3 linked regions of the Sus scrofa genome follow. The main gene of each other region encodes a partner of the protein of the gene in region 2 in a complex. Links are inferred from orthologs where the notes say so. Each region holds a gene or a part of one and is shown on either strand. Other genes may lie near its edges.

Region 1 (3,752 bases), on a different chromosome or scaffold from region 2:
AGACAGAAAGTGCCTTTAAATACCTTAACTTTTCTTAGTTTCAAATGATTACTTTTTCTGACTCCAAGTTGATTACTTCTGAAAAGTTAAGATTAGTTCAATCATTGAGGCTCTTGTGAAGACACTCTTCTATTATTCCTGTCGAATTTAACGGAATGAAAGAGAAGAACACTTAAGCGCAAAAGAATCCAAAACAAAAACAAACTAAAAGCAGAATGGAAAGAAAGTGAAATGGAGCAAAGCAAGTGCCTCTTACAAGGTCCAAGAATGACATTCAAGGGCCTTTGGACATATTCATAGCTTGCTACCTGCCTCTTACAGGCCAGACACAACACTGCTGGCCTTGGACTGGGCAGCAAGCCTACTGCAGCCGGGGTTCCATGCTACCAAGCTGCACCACCCCTGTATCAATGTAAAAAAAATGTGAAGAAAATGGAGGGTGTGAGGAGTCTTTTAAAATACATCCCACCAGAGAAATATTTCAGACAGCTTAACATAAAAATCTACTGATAAGTGGTTTTGAAACAACCGCCCAATTTGTTTTGTGTACCACATAAGATGCTACTAAGAACAGAGGTCTGTAGCCTTCTGTTGGTATTTAGCTTAAAACTGGTTTTTGTGCATTGGACCCAGGGCCAACTTAAGTAATGTTTTCTTATGAACGAGCTGAAGTTGCTGTTGGCTGCCTCACCGCTCATTTAGAGACATCTTGGTGGTGCTTTTTAGCACAACTTTCGGTGCTGACTGTGCAGCCATCTTCAAATCCCGAGAATCTACAAAAGACAATGGGCAAAGTGAGCAAATCAGAATGATGACTACCTCATTTCAACAGGGCCAAAGGCCCAAACCAAAAATGAATGAATAGGCCTGTCTCAATGACTACTGAAGATCACACCAAAACTCATTTCAGGTGCTTACATTTAGAAGCTAAGTTATCTGGAATTAATAAACTTCAAGGCCACATGACAGAAAATACCTGCCCAAGCCTCCAAAAATGGCAGACCTAGACCTAGCCAAAGAAAGTGTTTGGCTTTTCATCTAGAGCGGTCCTTCTCTACCTTGGCTGCAAGGAGCTTTAAAAAACAACAACAGGAGTTCCCTTCATGGCTCCGCGGTCACAAACCCAACTAGCATCCTTGAGGATGTGGGTTGGACCCCTAGCCTCGCACAGTGGGTTAAGGATCTAGCGTTGCTGTGGGTTGTGGTCTAGGCCGGCAGCTACAGCTCCAATTCGACCTCTAGCCTTGGAACTTCTATATATGCGGCCCTAAAAAGACAAAACAACAACAAAGACAGACACAAAATACAGAAGCTTCGGCCCAAACCATTTAAAGCACAATCTCTGCTGGTGAGGTCTGGGGATCAGCAATTAGAAGGTGGTGCGGGGAGGGGGGGTGGTGTCTAACTTGCTGCTTCTCATGTGCAGCCAAAATTCAGAACCACTGCTCTAGAGAGATGATACAGGTTTACCAGTTTACAAATTGGCTTTCAACTCCAAAGTCTTGCAGGAACCTTAGCAAGGGACTGGGGACGTGGGGGAGGGATGGAGTAGGAAAGGTTTCCTAAATGGGCGTTCACCTGGGAGTTCGATCCCAGAGAGCACGCCACAAAATTTAACTCTACAGCTGCCAGTGCATTCTGACGTTCCCTAAAGCCGTGTAGTCCTCCTCTGAACTCCCATCTCAAAGCCCCGTCCGGGACCGCCAACGTTGCTCAACCCGCCCAGCAATGTTCCTTTCTATTCCTACCAAATCCCAACCTCCAGCAGCGAGTTTCCAGCTCGGGGCCTCCCCCGCCTCCCTCTCAGGGGCTCCGCCCCCTCCCGGGGCCTCCACTCCCCGACACCCAATCTGCTTCCACATCCCACCAGCTCCCACTCCACGACCGCCGGGCCCGGGCGCTCCCCAAGACTTTTGCCCTCCTTCTCACCACAGAAACGTACCGAAGGAAACGGACGCCAGTGCTCCTCCCGGGGTTGCCACCACGGCTGCGACAGGCTGGCCGGGGGCCGGCCGAACCTGAGTTGACGGTGGAGGGGCTCGGATTAACTTGGTGGGCGGTTGGTTGTATGTGTTAAACGGTAGAATGCTAGGTTAGTTCGTTGATGCTGGGTGGCTGTCCGGTCGGCCGGTTCGCCTGCTCGCCCGGCGTGCCCTTTCCTGCCTTTCACCACAGCCGCTGCCGCCAACTCCCGCTCGCTCTCCAAAACAAAATGGCCGCCACGCCCAGTGCGGAATGGGACCGGCTAAAATGGCGTCGACGCCATTACGTCAGACGTCAGGTCTGCGCACAGCGCAGGAGGCGGGAAAATTTGTGTTACGCCTGCGCGGGGGATGAGGCGGAGCTCCAGGGAAAAGGCGGGGCTTTAGGCTGTATTACACTCCGAGCCCCACCCGGGAAGGGGCGTGGCCAATATATTCTCTCTTGGGTTTTAAGGCGGCTGCAAGTTGGTGATTTGGGACGTTCAAGGCGGATTTGGTCCTCTTAAGAAAAGAAGTTCGTATTTCATTGCGGGTCCCTCCACCCCTAAAGCTAAGGCAGACCGACTAAAATTCTTTACGCGACATGACTCGGTCTTTCTTCCGAGAGCCACCGGGCCGGTGTAATTTGCGCTGGCTCCCCCCTCAGCATACGCCCCTTTTAGAGTTGTGGGTTGCCATAAACGCACCTGGGGACCAGTGCAGGGAGCACACCTCACTGGATCCTGCACCACGCACCACTGCCCGTCCATATTTTTCTCTTCACTTCCCTTCCCAATTTGGCCTGAAGATTGTTAAATTCTTATTTGGGGGAAGCTTTGCGTCCCCGCAACCTATTCCAATGTCTTCTCCCTCCATCTAGCTTCCATGTGGATTTTGATGCAGACCTATATGGCATTTTCCTTATACCTGGGCACACAATAAAAGGCTCAGATGGGAGTTCCCGTCGTGGCGCAGTGGTTAAGGAACCCAACTAGGAACCATGAGGTTGCGGGTTCGATCCCTAGCCTTGCTCAGTGGGTTAACGATCCGGCATTGCTGTGAGCTGTGGTGTAGGTTGCAGACGCGGCTCGGATCCAGCGTTGCTGTGGCTCTGGCGTAGGCCAGGTGGCTGCACCTCTGATTCAACCCCTAGCCTGGGAACCTCCATATGCCGTGGGAGCGGCCCAAGAAATAGCAAAAAAAGACCAAAAAAAAAAAAAGGCTCAGATGTTGGAAGAATGAGTGAATGAACATGTCCTCAGTTCCACCTCCACTCTCTTAAAGGCGCATGAGATCCTTTCATTTTCCTTCCTAGCATTTATACGTGTATGTTTAATGGTTTGGCACCCTTTACTGGACTTCACCTATGTGACAGTGAGGGTTGTGTTTGTTTTGCTCACTGCTGTATTCCCAGTTTCCACACAATGTCTAGCACGGGGTAGGTCTTCAGCACATATTCTTCGAAAGTTGAAGGGCAATTTTTCTGGCTTCAAAGCTGAAAAGCTGATGTCTCTGCCACTTCCAGCTGGAACCTTGAGCCTCTACCTTTCTGGGCCTTGAGCATTCCTTAAGTAGGAAGATGTAATGGTTCCTTGATCTTTCTCCAAAATAAGATCCCTCCCCAAATAAAGCAATTTGGGAGTGAACAGCCTTCACTTCCCCACCCATTTCCAAACCCTGAAGGACCAGAGACAGCAGCTGGTGGCTGGTGAGAGAGGAGCCTTTAATGAAAGATGAGTTGCAGGCCTGGCCCACTACTCTTGCGCCCCTGTTGGAGGGTAGGCAAGGGTG
Region 2 (3,752 bases):
TTTGGAGGAATTCTTTGAAGAAGCCATTGAACAGGCAGACCCTGAAAACATGGTTGAAAATGAGTACAAGTAAGTAATGTTTCTCCTCAGCTGATCTCTAGTACCTTTTCTTAAAAATTGTATGTATACTAGAATGCTTAGCAAGGGAGAGAGTTGATGGTACTTCTCCACTTCAGTGAGTTTATATGCCAAGTTCATATTATGACACATCCTGACTTCAGCAACCATTCCCATCAACTAATAAGCAGGACTTAGAATCATGGTTTGATAGTACTTCTCCGCTTCAGTGAGTTTATATGCCAAGTTCATATTATGACACATCCTGACTTCAGCAACCATTCCCATCAACTAATAAGCAGGACTTAGAATCATGGTTATGTCTAAGAAGAAAAATCCCCCCTTGAGCCCACTTCTTATCACCTCTTTTCTCTGTTCCCCTTCAAATCACACTATATCCATCAGTTGTTGATAATTTCCGCCTTCATTTCCTCATCTATTCTCCCTGGCCAGCCTGTGCCTGCTGGGTGATCTTCTAGTCACTCGACTAAAATAGCTGACCAAGGTCACTTATTTTTTGGACCTCTCTCCAGCAGCATTCGCCAGTTGATCATTTTCTTCCCTTGACACCTGTGAAACTACACTCTTCTCTGCTTTTTCCTTTTGCCTCATTGTCTCAGTCTCTTTTGCTGGCTCCAGACCATCTGCCAAATTCTCCAATTTTGGAATAACTACAGGAGTCAGTCTCAGCTTCTTCATCTGAATCTTCCAGGAGACACCACACAGCCCCATGGTTTTAAATAGGCATCCTGGCACATGGTCTAAGTGCCCTTTACTCTCATCAGCCTGCCTGGTCACTCCCGAGATCCAGATCCTACCTCCTGCTAGCTAGGCTTCTAAGGGCTGGTTTAAGCCCTTTTTTGCATGTTTCTTCATCTGTTAAAACAGTCATAGTACCCATTTCATGGCTTATACATACTAAACATTAAATAAAATGGTTCACTTTGAACCATGCACTGTATAGGGGTAGTATTTTAGGTGCCACACCATCTCAGAGGTGGAAGCTCATTTGTAAGCAATGACTAATATACCAGGCTGCTACTCTTAGAACTTGTGGGGGCTTTCAAATGATTTGTAAAAACTCACATTTGTGCTCTGGATTCTCTGTAGCTTACCTGTTTGCAGAAGAACATTATCTTCAGAATTTCCCTGAGGTTTTTCCTTCTCACCTTACTGTTTACCACCTGTTATTTCATTAGTGAAGAGTTCATAGAGTCTATTCTTGGCATCCCTGCTTATGGTGTTGACTCTTGGATGTGTCCCTTTTAGTTTTGGAGCCATTTTTACTCAGTGAGGTTGACATTTGGCAAATTACAGTTTGTTACATAAATGTTAAAAGGCAGATACTGATTAACATGATCCAAAACTGTTTTATTTATAAAATATTCTGAAACTCACATCTGCAGGTGACATTGCTAGTTTGGTTATCAACTCACTGAAGGTAGTGAACCTCTTTCTTACTATATGACCAGGCAGATGATTTCTGTCCTGCACATACAGCACCTAGCAAGTCCTGGACACATACTAACAGACTTTTAACTTAAATAAGATGTAACTTTTAAAGTTCCCATTGTGGCTCAGTGGTAACTAACTCATCTAGTATCCATGAGGACATGGGTTCAATCCTTGGCCTCACTCAGTGGGTTAAGGATCCAGCATTGCCATGAGCTGTGGTGTAGGTTGCAGACAAGGCTTGGATCTGGTGATGCTGTGACTGTGGTATAGGCCAGAGGCTACAGCTCTCATTCAACCCCTAGCCTGGGACCTTCCATATGCCGTGGGTATGGTCCTAAAAAGACCAAAAAAGTATGTAAACTTTTGAATTGTGTTTGCTACATATGAACCTGCCTCTTTGGACTCCATTGGTTTCTGATTTGTAAGAGAACTGCATACTGAGACGTTCTGTAGGGCTATGATCACAAGGAAGAGATGGTGCCCTCAGCTACTGACCTGAGAGGACATTATTTCATGTGGTGAAGTTCCATGCACTAGAAGGGAACATGTAAATAAAACACTCAATTACAAGACTGGCATCTCTTTTTATAGGGCTGTGAACAATTCAAATTACGGTTGGAGAGCCCTGAGACTGTTAGCTCGGAGAAGCCCTCACTTCTTCCAGCCAACCAACCAGCAGTTCAAAAGTTTGCCAGAATATCTTGAAAACATGGTAATAAAGCTAGCCAAGGAATTACCAGTAAGTAATATAGGCCAATTTTTTCATCCTTTAGTTGGCATTATCTTCCTTTTTTAAGAGCTGAATTTAGCCTTTATTACATGAAAAAAATGATCCACAAACCCCCTTTAGAATGAGGAAGATGCACTGTGTGTGTGTGTGTATGTGTATGTGTATTACACTTACATAAATTGGTAACTTTACGTGCTATATCAAAAATTATTAATTTATTATATTTTGGGTAAACTTATTTTTCCTGTTTTGCCAAAGCATTACATTTTATCAAAGATAGGGCCTTTGGGGGTAGCAGTAGGTAACCTGGCCTGTATTGTTCTACTCTGTTCTTTTCCAGTACAGTATGGTAATAACTATACTATGTGCATCAAATCTAAGAAAATTACTCAAAAAAAACCCACTTAAGGACATGGTTGCTCCCCTAGTCTTCCTAAAGCATTGTTACTATTTGCTGGGTCCTTGCAAGTCATTTTACTATACTTCTTACTGGCTCCCTTCTTCCCACATTAGGGCAAAGGGCCTTTCTAACCTTCAGGTTTTCACCGTCCCACTGTGATCCTTACCTGACATTTGGGCCCCATGATTGGAATCTCTTACCTAAATAATAAGCACTCCCAGTTATATTATTTTAGAAGTTGGCACTCTTTTAAGACATTCTTCTTACTCATTTTAGCCTCCTTCTGAAGAAATAAAAACAGGTGAGGATGAAGATGAGGAAGATAATGATGCTTTACTGAAGGAAAATGAAAGTAAGATTTGAATTTTCTTGGCTATTTTACAAAATTGGAAAAGATTGGGGTTCTTGGTTGAGAGGTACGTTATTTAATTTTGATCTACTTCTCAACTTCTACCATTTATCTCAGCTCTGTTTCTTATAGTGAGGAATCTAGAACATTGCCTGATAATAACGTTTAAAATAAGACATCTTATACAATAAAATTTGGAAGTATTGGAAAGGAAAGTACTTAAATTTGAAGGCAACTCATACCTCTTAATTCTTGGGTATTAGATTGGGGCAGCTGGTTTCAGAAGATGCCTTCATAATTATAATAGAGGCAATGATTCCTCAATGATCATGATAAGAATAGTAATTCAACATGTGGAAAATGCAAAAGAACCGTCTTTTAAAATAAAGCTAATAAAAGATGATTAATATCTCAGCTTCCCCATGTTCCATTATATACTTTGAATCTTACACGTCCTCATACTTTGTTCATAATCTGCATTTCATGTGTTTTCTAGGTCCTGATGTTCGACGAGACAAACCTGTAACAGGGGACCAAATAGAAGTATTTGCTAACAAATTGGGTGAACAATGGAAGATTCTGGCTCCCTACCTGGAAATGAAAGACTCAGAAATTAGACAGATTGAGTGTGACAGCGAAGACATGAAGATGCGAGCTAAGCAGCTCCTAGTGGCCTGGCAGGATCAGGAGGGCGTGCACGCAACACCTGAGAACCTCATCAGTGCACTCAACAAGTCCGGATTAAGTGACCTTGCAGAAAG
Region 3 (3,652 bases), on a different chromosome or scaffold from region 2:
CTAAAGCAGGAGTGTCTTGCTCGTGGTTTGGAGACCAAGGGAATAAAACAAGATCTCATCAACAGGCTCCAGGCATATCTTGAAGAGCATGGTGAGTGCTCTGTGGAGGCAAAGACTAATGTGAATGTGGGGATTAATTTTTAAGCTCTGCCATATGGAAGAGTTCTTTTCCTGTAAGTTGTTGATGATGTGAGGTCTTAATTAACTCTGTCCAGAAAACTCTTGGTCATCGAAAACAGTGGTTATAGTGAAAAGAAAGAAATACCACTCCCCACCACCACCTTTTAAGAAAAGACATTGTGATTATATTTCAGCAGATTTTTTTTTTTCCTTTTTTTTGGCTACCCCATGGCACATGGAGTTCCTGGGCCAGGGATTAGATCTGAGCTATATGTGACTTATGCCACAGCTGCAGCAACACCAGATCCTTAACCCACAGTGCCAGGCTGGGCACTGAACCTGCATCCTGGTGGTGCAGAGATACCACTGTTTCCACTGTCACAAAGGGAACTCCTCAGCAGATATTTTGAAGGTAGTATGGTACAGCAAGTATCCTTAGACTCAGAATTGGAAAATTTTGATTTCTGATTCCTCTCGTGCCAGAAATTTACTAGGTAATTTAGGATGGCCACTGTTTTCATGGCTAAGTGTCTGTTCTGGTCTGTGAAGTGAGACAAGTGTCTCCACCTTTGAAATCCATGAACCTAGGTAATCTCTGGTCCCTTCAAACTCTGACATTCTCTAATTCCACCTTTTTAAAAAGAAAAACAACTTCATTTGAGGCATTGTGTCATCCTTCTCTAATTTTTATTATTTATTCCGTTTTATTCCTGTGCCATTTGCCCCAGCTATTCTAATGTATATATTTTTTGTCTTTGTCCTTGTAAGCCAGGTAGTGTTGTTTGGTGTACAGTATTTTTATGTAATTGGCAATGCGGCCATAGTCTTACTTTATTTTTCTTACCTTTCCCTCAGAGTACCATGTTCTAAGATATATTTGTGGGGTGTGTGGCTATATGGTCATCTAATCTATTGATTCTAATTCCTGCAAGGTTATTCTGATGTATAGAATTTACCACGTTTTATTTAGTTCACTCAGTGACTGATGCTCCTTTGTTGCCTCCGGAACTATTTCTTTCATATTCCCTTAAATTCCTGAGAGTCTTTCTGGGTTATATACCCAGGAATGGGGTTGCTGATAAGTACATAAATGTATACTTAATGTGACTAAACACTGCCAAATTGTTTTTCTAAATTGCTCTATAAATCTCATCATCAGTACATGAGGGTTCTTATATCTCCTCCACAAACCTAAAGTTGACATCGTCTTGTCAAGTGACTTAATTTTTGCTTATCTCTTGGTGGTTTCAATTTACATTCCTCGAATTATTAAAAAGTTTGTGGTTTGTTACCTTTTTCCTTTGCCCATTTTTCTTTTGGGATTCATATCATTTACTTCCTTTGCAGTCATTTCTTCAGTATTCTGGTAATTATCCCCATGTTGGTTTTAGACACAAATATCTTCTTTGTCATTTGTTTCTTTTTCTGTGGTGACTTAAAAAGTCTAAACATTTCTTTTGTTTGTGGTTCTTTGGGTTTCTCCTTTGCCCTTTTCTCTGATGGGATTCACATCATTTACTTAGTTTGCAGACATTTCTTCTATATTCTAGTAACCGTATATATAGACACAAATGTCGTCTTTGTCATTGTTTCTTTTTCTGTAGTGTCCTTCCCTGGTTTGAAAAATCTGCAGTTTTTTGCATATTACTTTTGCTTTAGGGTTTTTTGGTTTGTTTTTGAGAAATTCTTCCCCACCACTAAATTCTCACACATTACTTTTTGTGAATGTTATAGTTTGACCTCATCACATTTAATCCTTCAGTCTAGCTGGTATTCAACTTCGTATTGATATTAGGTAGAGAATATAGTTTTATCTTCTCCATGTGGAGCACATTTTATGAACATCATTTCTGCCTTCATTATTGAATTTTATTTTGGGGCAACAAACTGATTATAATTTTAGCCTAAGTGCAGTGATCAAGATGGTTTTGTAGCAGGGCTTGACCTAAATATTTTAATATTCTTTAGCTGAAGAGGAGGCAAATGAAGAAGATGTACTGGGAGATGAAACAGAGGTGAGTTGGAGAGAGTAAGGTTAGTCACTAGCCTGGCAATGTGCCACTGCCTTGGTCACATTGCTGAGCAGCAGATATTAGAGGGCTTATATGCTAACTTGTTAGGGGAGCATAAAGGGGGAATGCAGCTTCTGAAAGACTGGTTCATTTTGGCAGTCTCATATTCTTCTCTTTGACAGGTATTTACTCTTAATTTACATTAACCGTCCTGTTTCATTTGGTTTTAGGAAGAAGAGCCGAAGCCCATAGAACTGCCTGTCAAAGAGGAAGAACCTCCTGAAAAAACTGTTGATGTGTAACTATCCCTTTTTTATAATGAATACAGAGCAGACAGGTCTGGGTTTTTTAGTGTTTCACTCTGTTCATCTCCTACACGTTTGCATTGGCTTTTTCATTTCTCATTAGATCACGTATTTTCAGAAATGTCTACTTCATTTCAAGTACTTGGTCCCAGTAAGGCAAAGTAGGTTGTCTCTGGGTTATGTAATACATAATTAGGACCAGGAGACTTCAATCCCAGGTAAAGTTTAGTTCTCCTAGGCTTTGCTGTATCACCTTAATGGATGATTCTCTTTCTGTATAGAGAATCATGAAGGTTTTCTGCATGTAAAGAATTTTGTAATGGAGGAAGATGCTGAACAGAGGTTACATCTCAAGTAATGCTGTATTCTCTCTTCCTGTTTGATTTACAGTGGAGGAGGGGAGGACAAAGTACTAGAGTGAAAAGTGGATCTTGGTTGCTTAAATTATTCCACAAGCTTGATTATAAGCATCTTTTATTTGGTGTTTCCCACAAACATCTGGCTGTCTTAACTCCAGCACACTAAGAACAGTTGAGTCCTTTTTAACACTTTTGTTTCTTATAGCCGTATTAATCCATTTAATTATAAAAGGCAATATATGTATAAGTAGAAAGTCAAATAGTACATAGAGGGATATATAAATTGAAAATTAAGTATCTTGTCTCCACCCCCACCTGACTTCCCAGAGGTTTTCAATACTTTTTTTTTTTTTTTTTTTTTTGGTCTTTTTAGGTCCGCACCCATAGCGTGTGGAAGTTCCCCAATCAGAGCTATAGCTGCTGGTCTACACCACAGCCACAGCAACGTGGGATCCGAGCCGCATCTGCAACCTATGCCACAACTCATGGCAACGCCAGATGCTTAACCCATTGAGTGAGGCCAGAGATCAAACCCGAGTCCTCATGGATTCTAGTTGGGTTCGTTAACCACTGAGCCACAACGGGAACTCTTTCAGTATTTTTGTGTGTGTGTGTGTGTTTGCCTTTTCTTGAGCCGCTCCTGAGGCATATGGAGGTTCCCAGGCTAGGGGTCTAATCAGAGCTGTAGCCACTGGCCTGCGCCAGAGCCATAGCAACGTGGGATCCAAGCAGCGTCTGCGACCCACACCACAGCTCACAGCAACGCTGGATCCTTAACCCACTGAGCAAGGCCAGGGAACGAACCCACAACCTCATGGTTCCTAGTCGGATTTGTTAACCATTGCGCCATGACAGG

Evidence for each region.
Region 1: THOC1 (region 2) and CHTOP share a complex: the UniProt entries of both Homo sapiens proteins name them as parts of the transcription/export (TREX) complex. The link is inferred for Sus scrofa from reciprocal best matches to the Homo sapiens genes THOC1 and CHTOP.
Region 3: THOC1 (region 2) and SARNP share a complex: the UniProt entries of both Homo sapiens proteins name them as parts of the transcription/export (TREX) complex. The link is inferred for Sus scrofa from reciprocal best matches to the Homo sapiens genes THOC1 and SARNP.

The regions. Positions count from the first base shown.
Region 1 is NC_010446.5:96,003,363-96,007,114, forward strand, and holds the start of CHTOP (chromatin target of PRMT1 protein), read right to left. Parts: upstream 2,253-3,752; 5' UTR 1,943-2,252; intron 774-1,942; 5' UTR 757-773; coding exon 692-756; intron 1-691. UniProt on the Homo sapiens protein: Plays an important role in the ligand-dependent activation of estrogen receptor target genes. May play a role in the silencing of fetal globin genes.
Region 2 is NC_010448.4:106,084,142-106,087,893, forward strand, and holds part of THOC1 (THO complex subunit 1), read left to right. Parts: coding exon 1-69; intron 70-2,103; coding exon 2,104-2,251; intron 2,252-2,918; coding exon 2,919-2,994; intron 2,995-3,487; coding exon 3,488-3,752. UniProt on the Homo sapiens protein: Component of the THO subcomplex of the TREX complex which is thought to couple mRNA transcription, processing and nuclear export, and which specifically associates with spliced mRNA and not with unspliced pre-mRNA.
Region 3 is NC_010447.5:21,248,902-21,252,553, reverse strand, and holds part of SARNP (SAP domain-containing ribonucleoprotein), read left to right. Parts: coding exon 1-91; intron 92-2,088; coding exon 2,089-2,135; intron 2,136-2,362; coding exon 2,363-2,430; intron 2,431-3,652. UniProt on the Homo sapiens protein: Binds both single-stranded and double-stranded DNA with higher affinity for the single-stranded form. Specifically binds to scaffold/matrix attachment region DNA. Also binds single-stranded RNA. Enhances RNA unwinding activity of DDX39A.